Callithrix jacchus: one gene and its partners. The protein of the gene in region 2 interacts with the protein of the main gene of each other region in a biochemical or structural test. Links are inferred from orthologs where the notes say so. Each region holds a gene or a part of one and is shown on either strand. Other genes may lie near its edges.

Region 1 (4,734 bases), on a different chromosome or scaffold from region 2:
CATGCCTGTAATCCCAGTTACTCGGGAGGCCAAGGCAGGAGAATTACTTGAACCTGGGAGGTGGAGGTTGTGGTGAGCCAAGATCACTCCATTGCACTTCAGCCTGGGCAACAAGAGCGACACTCTGGCTCAAAAAAAAAAAAAAAAAGAGGAAATAATCTGCCAAAAAAAGGCCAGTGTTGGAGTCTGAAAGGTCTCCTGAGATTTGGTGCAAATAACCCACCAGAGCCCATCTGCAAACTGCCCTCGTCGGTGATATCACTACTGCTTGATATCACCCTGCCAGGCAGAGCCAGATATTCTGCTGCTCAGGGCCTGTCTCATTTGGCATAAGTCTAAGCACAGTCCCTGAGGGGGCTGCCAGGAGCCCCGGGGCTACTCACAAGGGGGAGTGCCTATTAGGAACCTGTGCTTTCTTTCCAGATGTGTCCAGGACTAATTCTGAAATTAAGAGGAAGGCCACAGATGGATGTCACAGAGCCATTACTGCCAGACTCATTCCTTCCCACTCTGGAGAGCAGAGGCTTCTGGGCTCTGCCACTTGCCCAGCCTCAGGAAGGCCACACAAAGCCTGCACCTCCTAAACTAGAACAACCAAGGAATGACAGCTCTCCTAGCTGGAAAACAGCACCAAAACCAAGGGGCATTCTTCCATTGAATCCTGAGGCTCCTGAATTGGCAGGGAAGCCTGGAGAAGGAGGGTGGGAGAGAGAGCAGTAGGCCACTCCAGTATGGGCCGAGCCATCTTCCTGGTCTCATCCTCACTTTGGGGAGATATGTCCGGCATAGATGTAAGACAGCCCGGCATGAATTTAGTCTGTGTACAGATGTCCTATCTCTGTGAGAGGCGAGCATCTATTTCCAAGGCTCAGGCCCTGCCAGCAATCAAATCAACAGGCCCAGGGCAAGGCCATGGGGAGGGCAGCTGAGGAGGGGGGAGTTCTAAGAGCTTTCAGGGTCACACTCTTGTACAGAAACCAACAACAGAACTGACTTTCTGTCCCAGGAGGTCAGCCTCGTGAGTTTAGTGGGTACTGCGCTGACCTCTGGGCCACTTTAAGACCACTAATAACATACGTGGCAACCCCTGTCTCTCAGTGGTATAGCCCCCAATGGCCATATCTATCTCAAATGAGCCCTCCCACCTGACCGGATAACAGGCTGAGTCCCTGATCTCTAGTCCCTAGCTCAAGACTTTTGGGTCCCCTGGCCATGTATACCCACTAGACTTTTCTGTGTAGATGAGAAATTAACCAGCAGGAGCAAGGTGGGTAGAAGGGGCCTTTTAAGAGATCAAGGCACTGTAAAGAGAAGCCCCAGCTTTGAGTTTCACACAGCCTTTCTTTGCACACAGGAGCCCTAAGAATCCACCATGCCTCTGCTAGAATCACAGTCCGCAGGGCAGGGCCTCATGCTATCAAGATCAGCCTCCCTCCCATCTTCCTGTCTGTCCCCAACATGATGGAAAGCTCCTAAAGGGGAGCAGTCTACAGTTAAATATTAATCCTCACTGTGGTTACAGTGGGTTATGCACATGCATGCATGTAAGTGTGCAAATGCGTGCACAGACACACCCCAGATTTGCCTCTCCATCCAACTTCTGACTCCCACAAACTAGGGCACATGGTCCCAAGAGACTCAAAGGGGAAACAACAACAACAAAAGACTAACAGTCAAGGGACATACACACAAAAATACAACCAGGGTCAGTCATAGATGCGACACAGTCAGACCAGCAGAAAAAGGCTGGAGATGTAATAATGTTCCACCACCAACCCTTAAATTCCTTCTAGCTCTCAGCCGTGAGGAATCACTGCAACATCCTCACCTACTGTTTTTTAGAAGAATGTGTCCCTAAATTAAGATAGCATACCACATAGGCAGACTCTCATCCTTGGCTCCCTCTGACATCCAGCCTTGGGAAGCAACAAACCAAGGCCACGGGGGCTTCAGAGGCAGTCTGGCAGAGGCCTGAAAGTTCTTTCAAGAACTTCCTAGGAATGAATATTCCCTACAAATAGAAGACTCTCCAAGGCACCCTACACACTGACCCATAAAACAGCCACCTCCCTAGAAAGCTCACCAAACCAGAGTGCCACACGACTTAAGGTCGAACGGTTACCAGTTTTATACAGGATTCAAAACCCTACCTCTCCTCCAAGGATGCCAGGCAAAACACCAAACGATGAACCTCACCTTCATTCACGTCAGGAAACCACAGGAAGTATTTGAAAAAGGAAGCAAAAGGACGGGACGCTGGAGGGGACTTCCTGCCCCACTATACACAGCCCCTCTCGTTCAAACCACTCAAAGGGTCCTTTCCCAGGGGCACAAAGCGGGAAAAGTAGCACAATAGTAGGGCAGAGGGACCAGTCTGGAGAAGATCACAAACTCAGAGGAGCCAGATTAGAGACAAGCAGTCCTCCTCCCAGGCCATACCCCAATAGCAGGCATGCTTCAGTGGTGTCCTCGATGGGACTCCGTCAGGGATGCACAAGGACCACTCACCTCCTACCTCCGCCAGACTTCAGGCGACCGTCTCCCCTCTCCGCCCACTCCCGCCTCACGTACTCGGCCCCCAGGCGACTCTACGCTCCCAACCTCTCCGGAGTTTCGGTCTCCCCCGGCAAAATCCGTCTTCCGGCCCCTCGGCCTTCGCCAGCGGCCCCTGCCCCGTTCCGCCTACTCGGCTGCGGCGCCCGCCCCCGCCCCGCCTCTCCGGTCTCTGCTCCGTAACTGCTCAGCTCTGTTCGGCACCCCGGCGCGGCCCCTCACCCGGGTGGAGCCGATGTCCATCATCACCTCCTCGAAGGCCGCCGTCTCCTCGGCCTGACGCTGCTTCTGCAGCGCGATCTTCTCACTAAATTTGCGCGGATTGGAAGCCGAGGATGTGGCCGAGCCAGGCCCGTTCGCCCCCGACGTCGCCATCTTCCTCCTCCGTCCCTCCCTGCCACCCTCTCAGTACCAGCCGCGGCCTCTGCCGCGGCTCCGGCCCGGCTCTTCCAGCCGTAGCCACCGCCGCCTCAGCTAGCACCGCGAACCCGGCCCCAGCCTAGCCCTGACCTGTTGCGCGCGGGGGCCGCCGGGAATTGCAGTTTGTTTACGAGACTCCTTCACGTCCCCAGTCACACGGCACCGGAAGGAAACGGACTTCATTTCCCAGCAGCCCGCCTGACTCCGGGAACTGGGAACTTCGCTCCACCCTCTCGGCTACTCCCTGCGAGAGGCAAGCTGGGAAGAGTAGTTCTAAGTTAGTCCTGAGCCTACGAAGGCAAAGGGGAGAGGGATTAGGGAGGAGGAAAGGTAGAGGAAAGAGAAGGGGAGGGGAGGGGTGGAGAACGGGAGAGAAGTACCAAGACACAAAGGAGGAAACATTTGGTCATCTTTCAGGGAAGGGCACTATCGGAACCTGAGTGAAAATTAGAACAAAAATCTTACAACAGCTGGAAACATCTGGGACTCAGACCCTCTCAGGCTGGCCACATGCCCACCCCTTTCCCAAGAAAAATGAGTCAGATACTGTACAGATGTCTAGAAACATCTTTTATTTGGGAAACAGGTCAGTTAATAAAATAGATTCTAAAGAATACACAGCCCTCCCTCCCAAAAAATAACCCTGGGGGTAGGCATTGCCCTTCCCCCTTGGGCTCGAGTATATTTAAAAAAATGTTTTGGCAGCTCAGTGTTTATCATCTGGGCATGGGGCACCGTGTCCATGTCCCATATTCCTAGGGTACAGCAGCAGTAGGTGGCTGCAGCTTTCCAACCTTCCCCCTACCCCAGCGTAGCAAATATTTCTGCCCTACCCCAGGATCTTGGACCAAAATAAAGAACAAGCCGGCCCCCTTCACTGAGGTGCTGGGTAGGGCTCAGTGCCACATTACTGTGCTTTGAGAAAGAGGGAGGGGATGTTTGGCACTTTAAAAATAGAGGAGTAAGCACGACTGGAGGTCAGAGAAGATACCAAAATTGGCAGGGAAAGACCATTTGGCACTAGTCCCCTGGGAGACGGGAAAAGGGAAATAGATATGAGGGTAGGAGCTAAGAAAAATAGGAGGGTTCCACTCCAAGTGGCAGGGTGCTGAAATGGGCTAGGATCAACAGGACACTGACTCTAGGTTTATGACCTCTCCGTACCCGTCCCACAGCAGCTGATGCCCATCTCCAGCCTCCCATGTCAGCCTGTCCTTATGTATAGTGTCCAACCTCTGATTCTAGTAGTCAAGTGTCTTCCCCAATCCTAATGTCCCCTGATCCTGTCTCTACCGACTTGGACCATCTCTTGTTCCTTGGGACTGGGGCCAGCCTCTTGTCTGCCCACTTCCCTCTCATTAGTCAGATAGCCCCAAAGGCTCTATCTTTAGCTCCCAGAGAACTTTTTGGTCCTCAGTACTTCCCTTCCCCATTCCTTCCTATTCCCCACACACTGGGGGAGGGAAGGGAGAACAGGGGCACGTGATCATCAATCTCCCCTGCCCCTCTCTTGAAGCCCCCTAGATTTGGATGAAGAGCAGGCCAGTGAGCAGAGCAAAGCCTGCTAGGAGCAGAATGACCTTGAGGATCCTTTGCTCAGAACTGGCCAGCTCCTGGGGCAGGATTTCCAGAAAGGTGATATAGAGAAAGGTGCCAGCCGCCATGCCCTCTAGCACAGACTGGGCCAGCTGGTGCAGAGGTCCTGCTGACTCTGCCAGAGCTGCACCCAGCCCGATGCCTAGAGGTGTCATGCATGAGAAG
Region 2 (4,081 bases):
GCTGAAGCACCTTTGCAAATGTCCAAGAGGAATCCCAACTCCCTAAGACATAATACTCAAAGCTTTTACAGAGCCAGCGGGCTAAGGGCTTGTTACTCTGCGGAACATTCATGCATGTATTACCTCTAGTTAACAATTACCTAGTCAGTACTAGAGCAAAGGCTCTTGGTGTCGCCAGGAGGCCATTGCCTTCATGTGGGCCTTGAACTATAATCCTCTTGGATGCACTGAAAATAGGCTCAAAATAAAACCAGATAAGTAGCAGTATTGTATTTTTAGTCTGAATAATCCACTTGTAATATTTACTAAAGTAACACCACATCAAAAGTAGTGGTGAGAAGCTTCTCATGTGGGTGCAGTTCATTATTCTTCATTTGTGCATGTGTGGCGGGGACGGGGAGTTCAAGGGCGACTCTAAGAGGTCACTCATCTGTACTCTGCCCTGTGAGCCAAAAACAGCTTGTTCAGGCCTCCATGTGGTATCGAATACTTGGGAGCAGCAAGGATAGGTTGAACTCGTCCACTGACCAAAGAAGCTGTGGTTTTTCCCAAAGAATCTGTTTGCTCCAGGACTGGAGGAAATCCTCAAAGTGAAAATGACCATCTTCAGGACAGACTCATACCTCATCCTCACAGAGCCATCAAGGAAAGGGCCCAAGGTACCCACCTGAGGGCAGCTGCTAGCAGGGTCCTGGAGCTGAGGAGCTGTGGGTGCCAGGTTAGGGTCTGCCTCTGGTCCTATCTGTTCATACAGCAGCTGCACTTTGTTCAACTCTAGAATTCCTTTGGTTCTAGCCAGATTCTGAAGATGTTGTCTAAATGCTACAATTCCTGAAAGAAAGTACAAAGATCAAACAGTTTAAATAAAACAAGGCCTTTCAGTGATCACAGGTGATCACACCAACGTGGCAAGAAACCCCCCACACGACGCAAGTTTCAAAAGGCAGAGGAGGAAGGGCTACCTTGGGTGAGGGAGGTATCTGATGCTCTGCGGCCCTCTCTGAAGCTCACTGGAGACCTGTTGTGGACCTCTCGCTTCTGGGAGCTCAGAGCCTGCATGGCTGGGTTGGTAGGTCTGAGGCTTATGAAGGGAGATGTCACGCGGGGTGAGGGCTGATTGGTTAACATGATGTCCTTAAGGGAAGGGTTATCCTCCAGGAAGTTCAGGTCCCTCTGAACAGACCCCATATCGTACTCTGAGTCCACACTGTCAAGGGAGGGGCTGTCGTTCACGGAGAAAATTTTCCCTTTAAGAGAAAACAGAACAGATAAAACCAACAGCAACAGTATCTTCTTGGAACATAGGGTACAAAGCATAACCAGCTTGAGTCTTGACAATTACCATGTCCTTAATCTCCAATCAAAACATCTTTCCAGAACCTTTTTACTGGCCAACTTAGTCATCTTCAAGTTTAGCGGGGAAAATACTCCAGAAGTGGCATCTGTAAGATCTCTGCCACTCCAAAAGAGCAGAGTCCCCGATGAATCATACAGCACCCAGACGAATCCTGGGGGCTACGGGAGCCAACTCAGACATTTCAATCACCTTTGATAGCTGCTGCCAGTCTGGGTCTGCTACACCTGCTGAATCTGCTCCATAAAGGAATAAACTAGCGACTCAACTCTAGGAGTTGGCTGGCAGCATGACCACTTGCTGGTGACTGGAGTATGAGATGACACCATGGAGACTCAACCTGGTGTCGCCTCTCTACTGTACCTGCCCCAGGCATCATGACCAACTGATTGGTCACTTCTGACAGAGTGTGCCGTCTTTGCCCACTGCGCGTGGACTGAAATGCCTCGAAGGCATGAGTGGGGTCTTCCTCAGCCTCTCCTTCTGTCTCCAGCCCTTCGTCAATGGAGGTCTCCATCATGTTGCTGGGAAGTGACTGGCACCCCTTCCGTACCAGGACAGGAGGCACGGGGTCAAGCAGACAGCCATTTACCTACACGCCAGGAGAGAGGAAACTCAGTTTCTGTACCACTGAGACAGAAAAATCCAGAGAGGAAAACATGTCAAGACTTGTGGCAAATTAGAAATTAAGTAAAATATTTTAAAATGCACATGTTTATTATGAATGACAACACACAGATTAGAAGTGAAGGCAAGTCAACTGCAGGACTCAGAGACAGAAGCCTGTTATGACCCGAACTGGCACTGCTGCCCAGGTTTCTCTGAGTCATCATTACAACAATAAACAACTTTTTTAGTGGTTTCCAGAAGAACAGGGGTATATTACTTTGAGGCCTACCAGTTATTTTTTTTTTAAATAAGGGAAATGAAGAGAGGAAAGATGAGATTTTTTTTTTTAACTACATGGCTCATTGCTAAAAAAAAAAGGGGTAGTCACCAACATTCTTCTGTTTTTCAACTATAAGCATACTAGAAGGTTTTAGAAATACTTTTATGTTCATAATTTAAGTGCCTGCCCATTTGATTTAGTCTTTAATTGGTTCTATGTGCCTGAGGAATGGAAAGTAAAAATTCTATATAGACAGACTGATACCACAAAAAGGATTGAAAAAAAATTCCAGTGGCAGACAGCCGAAGCCTTTCATTGCAGAGTAACAAATGGCTCACTGGCCCCAAATTCCAGCAGAGGCTAATAAGCCCCGGTGCACTGAATTCTGTCTCCTCCAGCAACACACACATTATCAATGGTTCCTATCCCACAGGGGTGAGCGCAGCACAGCCCCTCCTAAAAGCACTCGCCCTTCCCATGCAGTTGCCATGCAAACCGCCTAATGGAAGGCAGAACAGGAAAGGGGGTGGGGTTGTGGTTGCAAGTTCTGGCTGGTAAAAGCCCCTGTGAGGAGGTAATTATTTACCTCATTACCTTAACTATTCCCCCGTGGAAATCAATCCATTTTCTCCTATGAATAGCTGCTCAGGAACAGCCAGTCATAAGGACACTCAGTTCTAAGCAGCACTTTCACCTGGAAAACACTGGGTAGAGCTATTGTTTCCTTTGGAAGCAGGAGAGGCTCACGTATGTGAGAGGGGGCATGGGGTTTCCCTTTGCCAGACACACAGGAAACTTCCCTCATACGGCAGCCAATCTGAAGGCACTGCGAGGCCCTTTATTTGGAGAAGGAGACTTGGGTGACTCAGATCTTTGTTTGCTGCAGGGAGGGGAGGGTTATTCCATAACATCCGTTCTGGGCTCCAGCCCTCACTTGGGTAAGGTGGCTAATGCATAACAGGGTTTTAAAGTGATAAGCGGTCATTTAAGAGGAAGAATGGCAGATGCTTCCTTCCCAGACTGGCCAACCTTCCCCATGGCAGCAGAAAGCAAAACTCTGAAACTTGGCCAGCAACTCTTACTCTTTCCTTGGTCCTTCCCCAGATAAATTTTCCTTTTTGACTAAACTTAATAGTTTCCCTGTAAGAAAGAATGGCTATTTGAGAACTTACATTCATACTTCTAAGCTCCTTAACTGTGTACTAATATAATTTTCTAAAACTAGCCAAGAATGAGTATGAGATGAAATGAATAAACCAGCAGAGAAAAGATCATTCAGTCACTATCTACTGAGCATCCTTACACTCACAGCCTCCATCAAAATTTTACCAGACATTTCTTATAGGATAAGCCATACAAGCAGGTTCTTTCTTTTTCCTCCTCCTTCAACTTTTAACTTCCAGGGTATAGCTGCAGGATGTGCAGGTTTGTTACATAGGTAAACGTGTGCCATGGTGGTTTGCTGCACCTATCAACCCATCACCTAGGTATGAAGCCTGGCATGCATTAGCTATTCTTCCTGATGCTCTCCCTCCCCCGCCCCCCCTAACAGGCCCCAGTTTGTGTTGTTGCCCTCCATGTGTCCATTCAGCTCCCACTTATATGTGAGAACATGTGTTTGGCTTTCTGTTCCCGCATTAGTTTACTGATGGCTTCCAGCTCCAACCATGTCCCTGCAGAGGACATGATCTCATTCCTTTCCATGGCTGCATAGTATTCCATAGCGTATATGTGCCACATTTTCTTTACCCAGTCTATCATTGATGAGCATTTGGGTTGATTCCATGTTTTTGCTCTTAAGAGTAGTGCTGCAACGAACAGACTCATGCACGTGTCTT
Region 3 (4,793 bases), on a different chromosome or scaffold from region 2:
CGGATGCTGAGATCGGGCCCCATCTTCAAGAAAGAACAGCGAAGTGGCCCCATCCTTCAGTAGGTTAAGACTCTGTCTCACCCGCTGGGTGACTCACTAAAGCTATCTCTATTCACCTAGAGGTCCGAGCCCCAGAATAGAGCCCAGGAATCCTGCCAGCAATCCTGGACTCCAGCCCTCCCCATGCGACATTCATTCATCCATGTGCCAGGCACTGTGCTAGGTGCTGTGCAATGGCAGCAACCAAGACAGCCCAGAGAGCAAAGGCTGTCCCTAAAATAGGGTTCCAAGATGCTGCTGGAGGTGGCAGGCAGGCGTACCCTCAAAAGCCCCTTACCCCAACCCCTTGGGAGGCCTGTGCAATTCACACTGTCCAAAGAAGCATCCCTGGACACCTGCTTTTTCAGCCCCAGGCTCTTGCATCCTGTCTGGAGACCGATCAAGAGACGGGGAGAGGGGGTGGGGAGGGAAACACCAGGCTGCCCGGGCCCTCATGGCCGTGTTTATCCGGGGTGGATTTTTTTTAACCCAAAGGTTAAAGTGTTTCTATTTGAAACATCTATTTACATTCCAGAGTCCAAAAAAAAAAAAAAAAAAAACAAGGCAGCCGAGCTCCAGGCCTATATCTGTCCCTAGCCGCGTCACAGACACAGCATCAGAGCTGCGCAGGGGGAACATTCTTAGCCCTCTCCCCGAGCCGCTGAGGTGACTCACGCCTCCCTCCTGCCAGCATGGAGCAAGCCACCACTCAGAAGGCTTGGTCCACCCCCCACATCGGCTGGTGTGGGGAGACAGGCATCTGGAGAGAGGAGGTGCCTGGGGGTCCATGCAGGGGCAGCCAGGCTTAGGGATGGGATGAGAGAGCAGGGTCCAGCCTTCGAGGTTTCTGGGGTACAGTCTGAAAAGAGGTGAGTAAACAAGCCAAGGAGGAAACTCTGGGCCAACTGCTGGCTGCTGCTAGTAGCAAGGAATGGAGGGGACAGGACAGGATGGGTGGACCTGATAAGCCACACAGGGTAGAGCTGCCCCAAGCAAATGCTCCGTGATTATTCTGCCTTCCAAGAGACCACCTTAAGTCCCGGAGGCCATGGACTAGGGGCAAGCAGGCAGGGTCTTTCGCTGACCCTGTGGACTCCAGACCAGGATAAGAACCAGCCCTCTGGGTTTATTCCTTATCCCAGGGGCCTATGGAGCTGGCTCCCAGGCATATGCCCTTACCTCACGGGACTTCATGGGTACACAGTAGAGCTGGTCCTCAAGGTTACACCCTCATCCCAGCCCCAGCCTACAGGGCTGGCCCCAGGGTAAGGCCCCTATCCCCGGGGCCTGCATGGATACCCTGCAGGGCTAGTCTCCAGGGCCATGCCCCTACGTGAGAACACTGCAGGGGTATCCCTGCTCAGGAAGATGATAGGCCATGTTCCAAAGATCTTCTGAATCCTCCCGAAACATTTATTCTCTGACACATCCAAGTCGCACTGCAACATTATCCCTGGGCAGCTCAGAGCCAAATCACAGGGACCTGCAGAGGCACACAGTTCCCACCTTCCAATTCGAAGCTTGGGATGCACTCCCACATATCCATAGGCAAAGACTCCCCATTCACACGTGCACACACATAGTCACCCACACTTGAATGCCAAGCCACTACCAGGAGGGGCCAAGCAGGCATGGGTCCAGCAGGCCCCTCCCTGGAAGAAGCATCTTGTGGTGCCGGCCTGGTGGGGAGGCTGTGCCAGAAAGGCTTGATGCTGCCGAAAGGTTGCCGGGAGTGAGGGAAGGAGTAGCCCAGCTCTGGGGGACCCCACCCCTAGCCAAGAGGCAAAAAAGGTTACTGCTGAGAGGGTGGCAGGATTAGGGGGTCCTAACCCCATCTGAGCCAGAGTAATACCTCTTCATCCTCATGACACGGGAATCAACCCAGACCTGGGGAGAGGAGCGATATCGGGAGCCAGCTAGATGCGAAGGCAGCCAAGCCCCTCAATATCCGAGCTGCCAGCCTCTGCCTAACTCCATCACAACTATACCAAGCCTCCCCAAGTGTCTGATTCTCAGGAGACTCCTGGCTGGGGACTTGGCGGAAGTTACTGGACTTGATGCTCTAGCCCTAAGAACCAAGCCAGAGGAGCCGGGGTAAGCTTTATTCCTGTGGACACCTAGCTACGCCTTCTTCCCTTGCCCAAACCTGGGGAGCGGGCAGCAAGGAGGCGGGTCACTGACCCACTTCCTCCCCTCTGACCACACTGCCAACTAGGCCAGGATCCTCCAGTAACCCCCAGCCCCTAGCAACAGATGCTGACCCTGCCAGAGGCCAAAGTGACTGGAAGTGAAGCAGCAGAGTACAGCTGCAGGGCACAGGGGAGCAGCAGGCTCTGGGCAGGGAGGGCAGGGGCCTCTCTGAGCAGGGATCCCCCAGCCCTGTGTATTCTCAGTGAAACTCTCAAGACAGATCTACACAGGATGCTATCTGCACAAGGCTCGGAGCCAGATGCTCAGCCCAGGGACAAGGATACCCAATGACAGAGGGCAGGCAGGGACACCAAGGCACTTACCTGTCACAGGGATGCTGTGCAGAGAAGTCCGAGGCAGGATTTCCAAGGATGGTTCCCGGCCTGACATCCCATCTGCTGAGAAACAGGATTCTGTCTCATAGATGGTCTGCAGCATCTCCACGAGCCCCTGAGCCTTGGGCACCAGCAGCATGCCAGGGAGGGGACCGCCAGAGGCGGAAAGCCAGCCCAAGGAAAGGTGGTCAGGTGGCCCGCACTGTGCAGGGGTTCCCTCAGGCCACTGCCAATGGGACGCGTACTGTGGGGAAGTGCCTCATCCGGCCTGGGCACTCCTGACGGCAGGAGGGGCAGGGAGGCCCAAGAGCTGCAGGCCCAGCTCTGCTCTAAAGGGGTATCCGACCACCAGCCTTTCCTTGGTTCCCGGGAGCTGGGGTATGGCTGAGCACTTGGGACAGGAAGGGGAGCTCAGCGGGCAGGCGGGCTCTCTGTGTTCCCTCCCAATCCTGGGTGACAGCTCTGGGCCGGCTCCCTGCTCCTCCTTCCCGAATGAGCCACCGCCGGCAGCTGGCAGGAGACTGAAATAGCAGTTGGGGGAGGGCCCTGTCTATAAATAGGTGGAGCATGCTCAGGGAGCTGCGGGCCGGCTGCCAGGAGGCCCCATGGGGGGGAGGCGGTTCTACCCCAGGAGGAAGCGCCAGGCGAGGGGGATGGGAACGGGGGAGGGCCTGCACTCAGGGCCAAGGCCATAGCGATAGGTGGCCAGAGGCTGGGCTGGGGAAGGGCGCTGGCTGGGGTACCCATGCATCTGGGAGCGGCTCTGACTGCTACTTTTGGCAAGCAAGCCAGGGGACAGAGACCAAGAAGCCAGACTCAAGCCTCCATCTGCCCTCTTGCCTTCCAGACCAGGTAAAGGAATAGAAAGGGTCTGGGAGAGGCTGGCAGACAGGCAACTTCCCTGGAGTTCTAACAGCCCATGGAGGTTTGCTTATTCTACCCTCCCACAAAGCTGAGGAATGGAGTGCCTCCTCAGTCCTTCAACCAGCAGAGAGACCCCCAAACACCTGCCAATGGCAGCTCCCTCCCACTCATTCTGGAGTGTCGCCTCCAGAGGCTGCTCAGCCTCAGCTTCTTTCTAGGGGGTAGGGATATTCTTCCTGGGCAGACAGGGGTTCCCTGGTCCCCTTTCCTCACCCCAAGCCTGGGAAAGCGAACCAGGGAACACCTGCCCATTCTCGCAGCACAGGTAGCTCCTCCCTATCCATGTGCCAGGTGTGGTGCTAAGAACATCACATACATCATCTCATTCTGCATGGTGACTTTGGGAGAGAGGCACAGAAGGGAAAACTGAGGCACAGGGAGATGGTCACTCACCCTGGGTCATACAGCTGCTTAGATGACAGGGCTGGGATGTCCGAGACTCAAGTCTGAGCTCGACCCACCACACCACACTGCCTCCCATTTCCCAGGGTTTCTATGAACAGGTACAATAAACCCTGTGCTCAAGTAGGAAGAGACTTGAGGTTGGTGCCTCGCTAGGAAGAGTCAGTAGTCTTTCAGCATCCAGCCATTCCCCACCAGCCAGACTCAGGCCTGGCAGCATAGGCTCTGCTCCCTGGGTCCTAGGGCTGGTGCACTGTGAGGACCCGTGCCACTCCCATGCCCTCCCCACTGCTGGCCTGCCCCTTCTCCTCAGGTTGTGCTCCCACAGGTACAGAGATCCCACTTGGCCCCCTGACCTCACTAGAGCCTTTTAATAGCCTGGTTATTCCTGTGTCTGCATCCCCCTCCCTCTTCCTGATGTCACAGTTGCTATTTTGGAGCCCCCTCCTTGCCCCCCACTCCAGGCATGGAGCCAGGGACACCTGTCCTCTCTCTGGACTGGATGACCTCACCCTCTTGTTGGGAGCCCAAGAGGAGCTGGCCAACCAAGGACACAGTGGCTATGGCTCCTGGAGCCCAATTTCCCAGCCAGCTTCCACCAGTCAGGGATGGCAAAGGGGTCCCCTGCCCTCAGATTGGGAGTAGGAGGATTGGGGGACCACACCTATAGGCAGAGGCAGGGTTTGCCAGGCCCTAGACTGGCAAGATGTATATGTTGCCAGGGGGTACCCAGTGGTGGACCAGGAAAGAAACAGGGCTCTGGAGCTGCAGCTTTGAAGCCAAGGCAGATTCTAGAAAAAGACAATGGAGCAGTACTCCCTCAGAGGCCTAGCGCTGGTGGACACCTCACGGTATGTCCAGGGATGTCATTTATCACCCCTTGTCCCAATCTCATCCTGGCCA

What was found. The genes of interacting proteins can lie anywhere in the genome.
Region 1: of the proteins of SIK2 (region 2) and CRTC2, one has a biochemical effect on the other in vitro, tested with the Homo sapiens proteins (2 studies listed by BioGRID). The link is inferred for Callithrix jacchus from reciprocal best matches to the Homo sapiens genes SIK2 and CRTC2.
Region 3: of the proteins of SIK2 (region 2) and HDAC5, one has a biochemical effect on the other in vitro, tested with the Homo sapiens proteins (2 studies listed by BioGRID). The link is inferred for Callithrix jacchus from reciprocal best matches to the Homo sapiens genes SIK2 and HDAC5.

What each region holds. Positions count from the first base shown.
Region 1 is NC_133519.1:14,384,335-14,389,068, forward strand, and holds the start of CRTC2 (CREB-regulated transcription coactivator 2), read right to left. Parts: upstream 3,064-4,734; 5' UTR 2,929-3,063; coding exon 2,776-2,928; intron 1-2,775. Other genes in the region: SLC39A1 (zinc transporter ZIP1), read right to left, coding at 4,494-4,734. UniProt on the Homo sapiens protein: Transcriptional coactivator for CREB1 which activates transcription through both consensus and variant cAMP response element (CRE) sites.
Region 2 is NC_133511.1:11,417,170-11,421,250, reverse strand, and holds part of SIK2 (serine/threonine-protein kinase SIK2), read right to left. Parts: intron 1,947-4,081; coding exon 1,718-1,946; intron 1,248-1,717; coding exon 963-1,247; intron 832-962; coding exon 668-831; intron 1-667. UniProt on the Homo sapiens protein: Serine/threonine-protein kinase that plays a role in many biological processes such as fatty acid oxidation, autophagy, immune response or glucose metabolism.
Region 3 is NC_133506.1:70,958,140-70,962,932, forward strand, and holds the start of HDAC5 (histone deacetylase 5), read right to left. Parts: upstream 3,064-4,793; 5' UTR 2,704-3,063; coding exon 2,553-2,703; intron 2,134-2,552; coding exon of another isoform or gene 1,904-2,133; exon of another isoform or gene 1,771-1,903; intron 909-1,770; coding exon of another isoform or gene 856-908; exon of another isoform or gene 683-855; intron 1-682. Other genes in the region: uncharacterized protein LOC118153996, read left to right, coding at 1,904-2,133. UniProt on the Homo sapiens protein: Responsible for the deacetylation of lysine residues on the N-terminal part of the core histones (H2A, H2B, H3 and H4).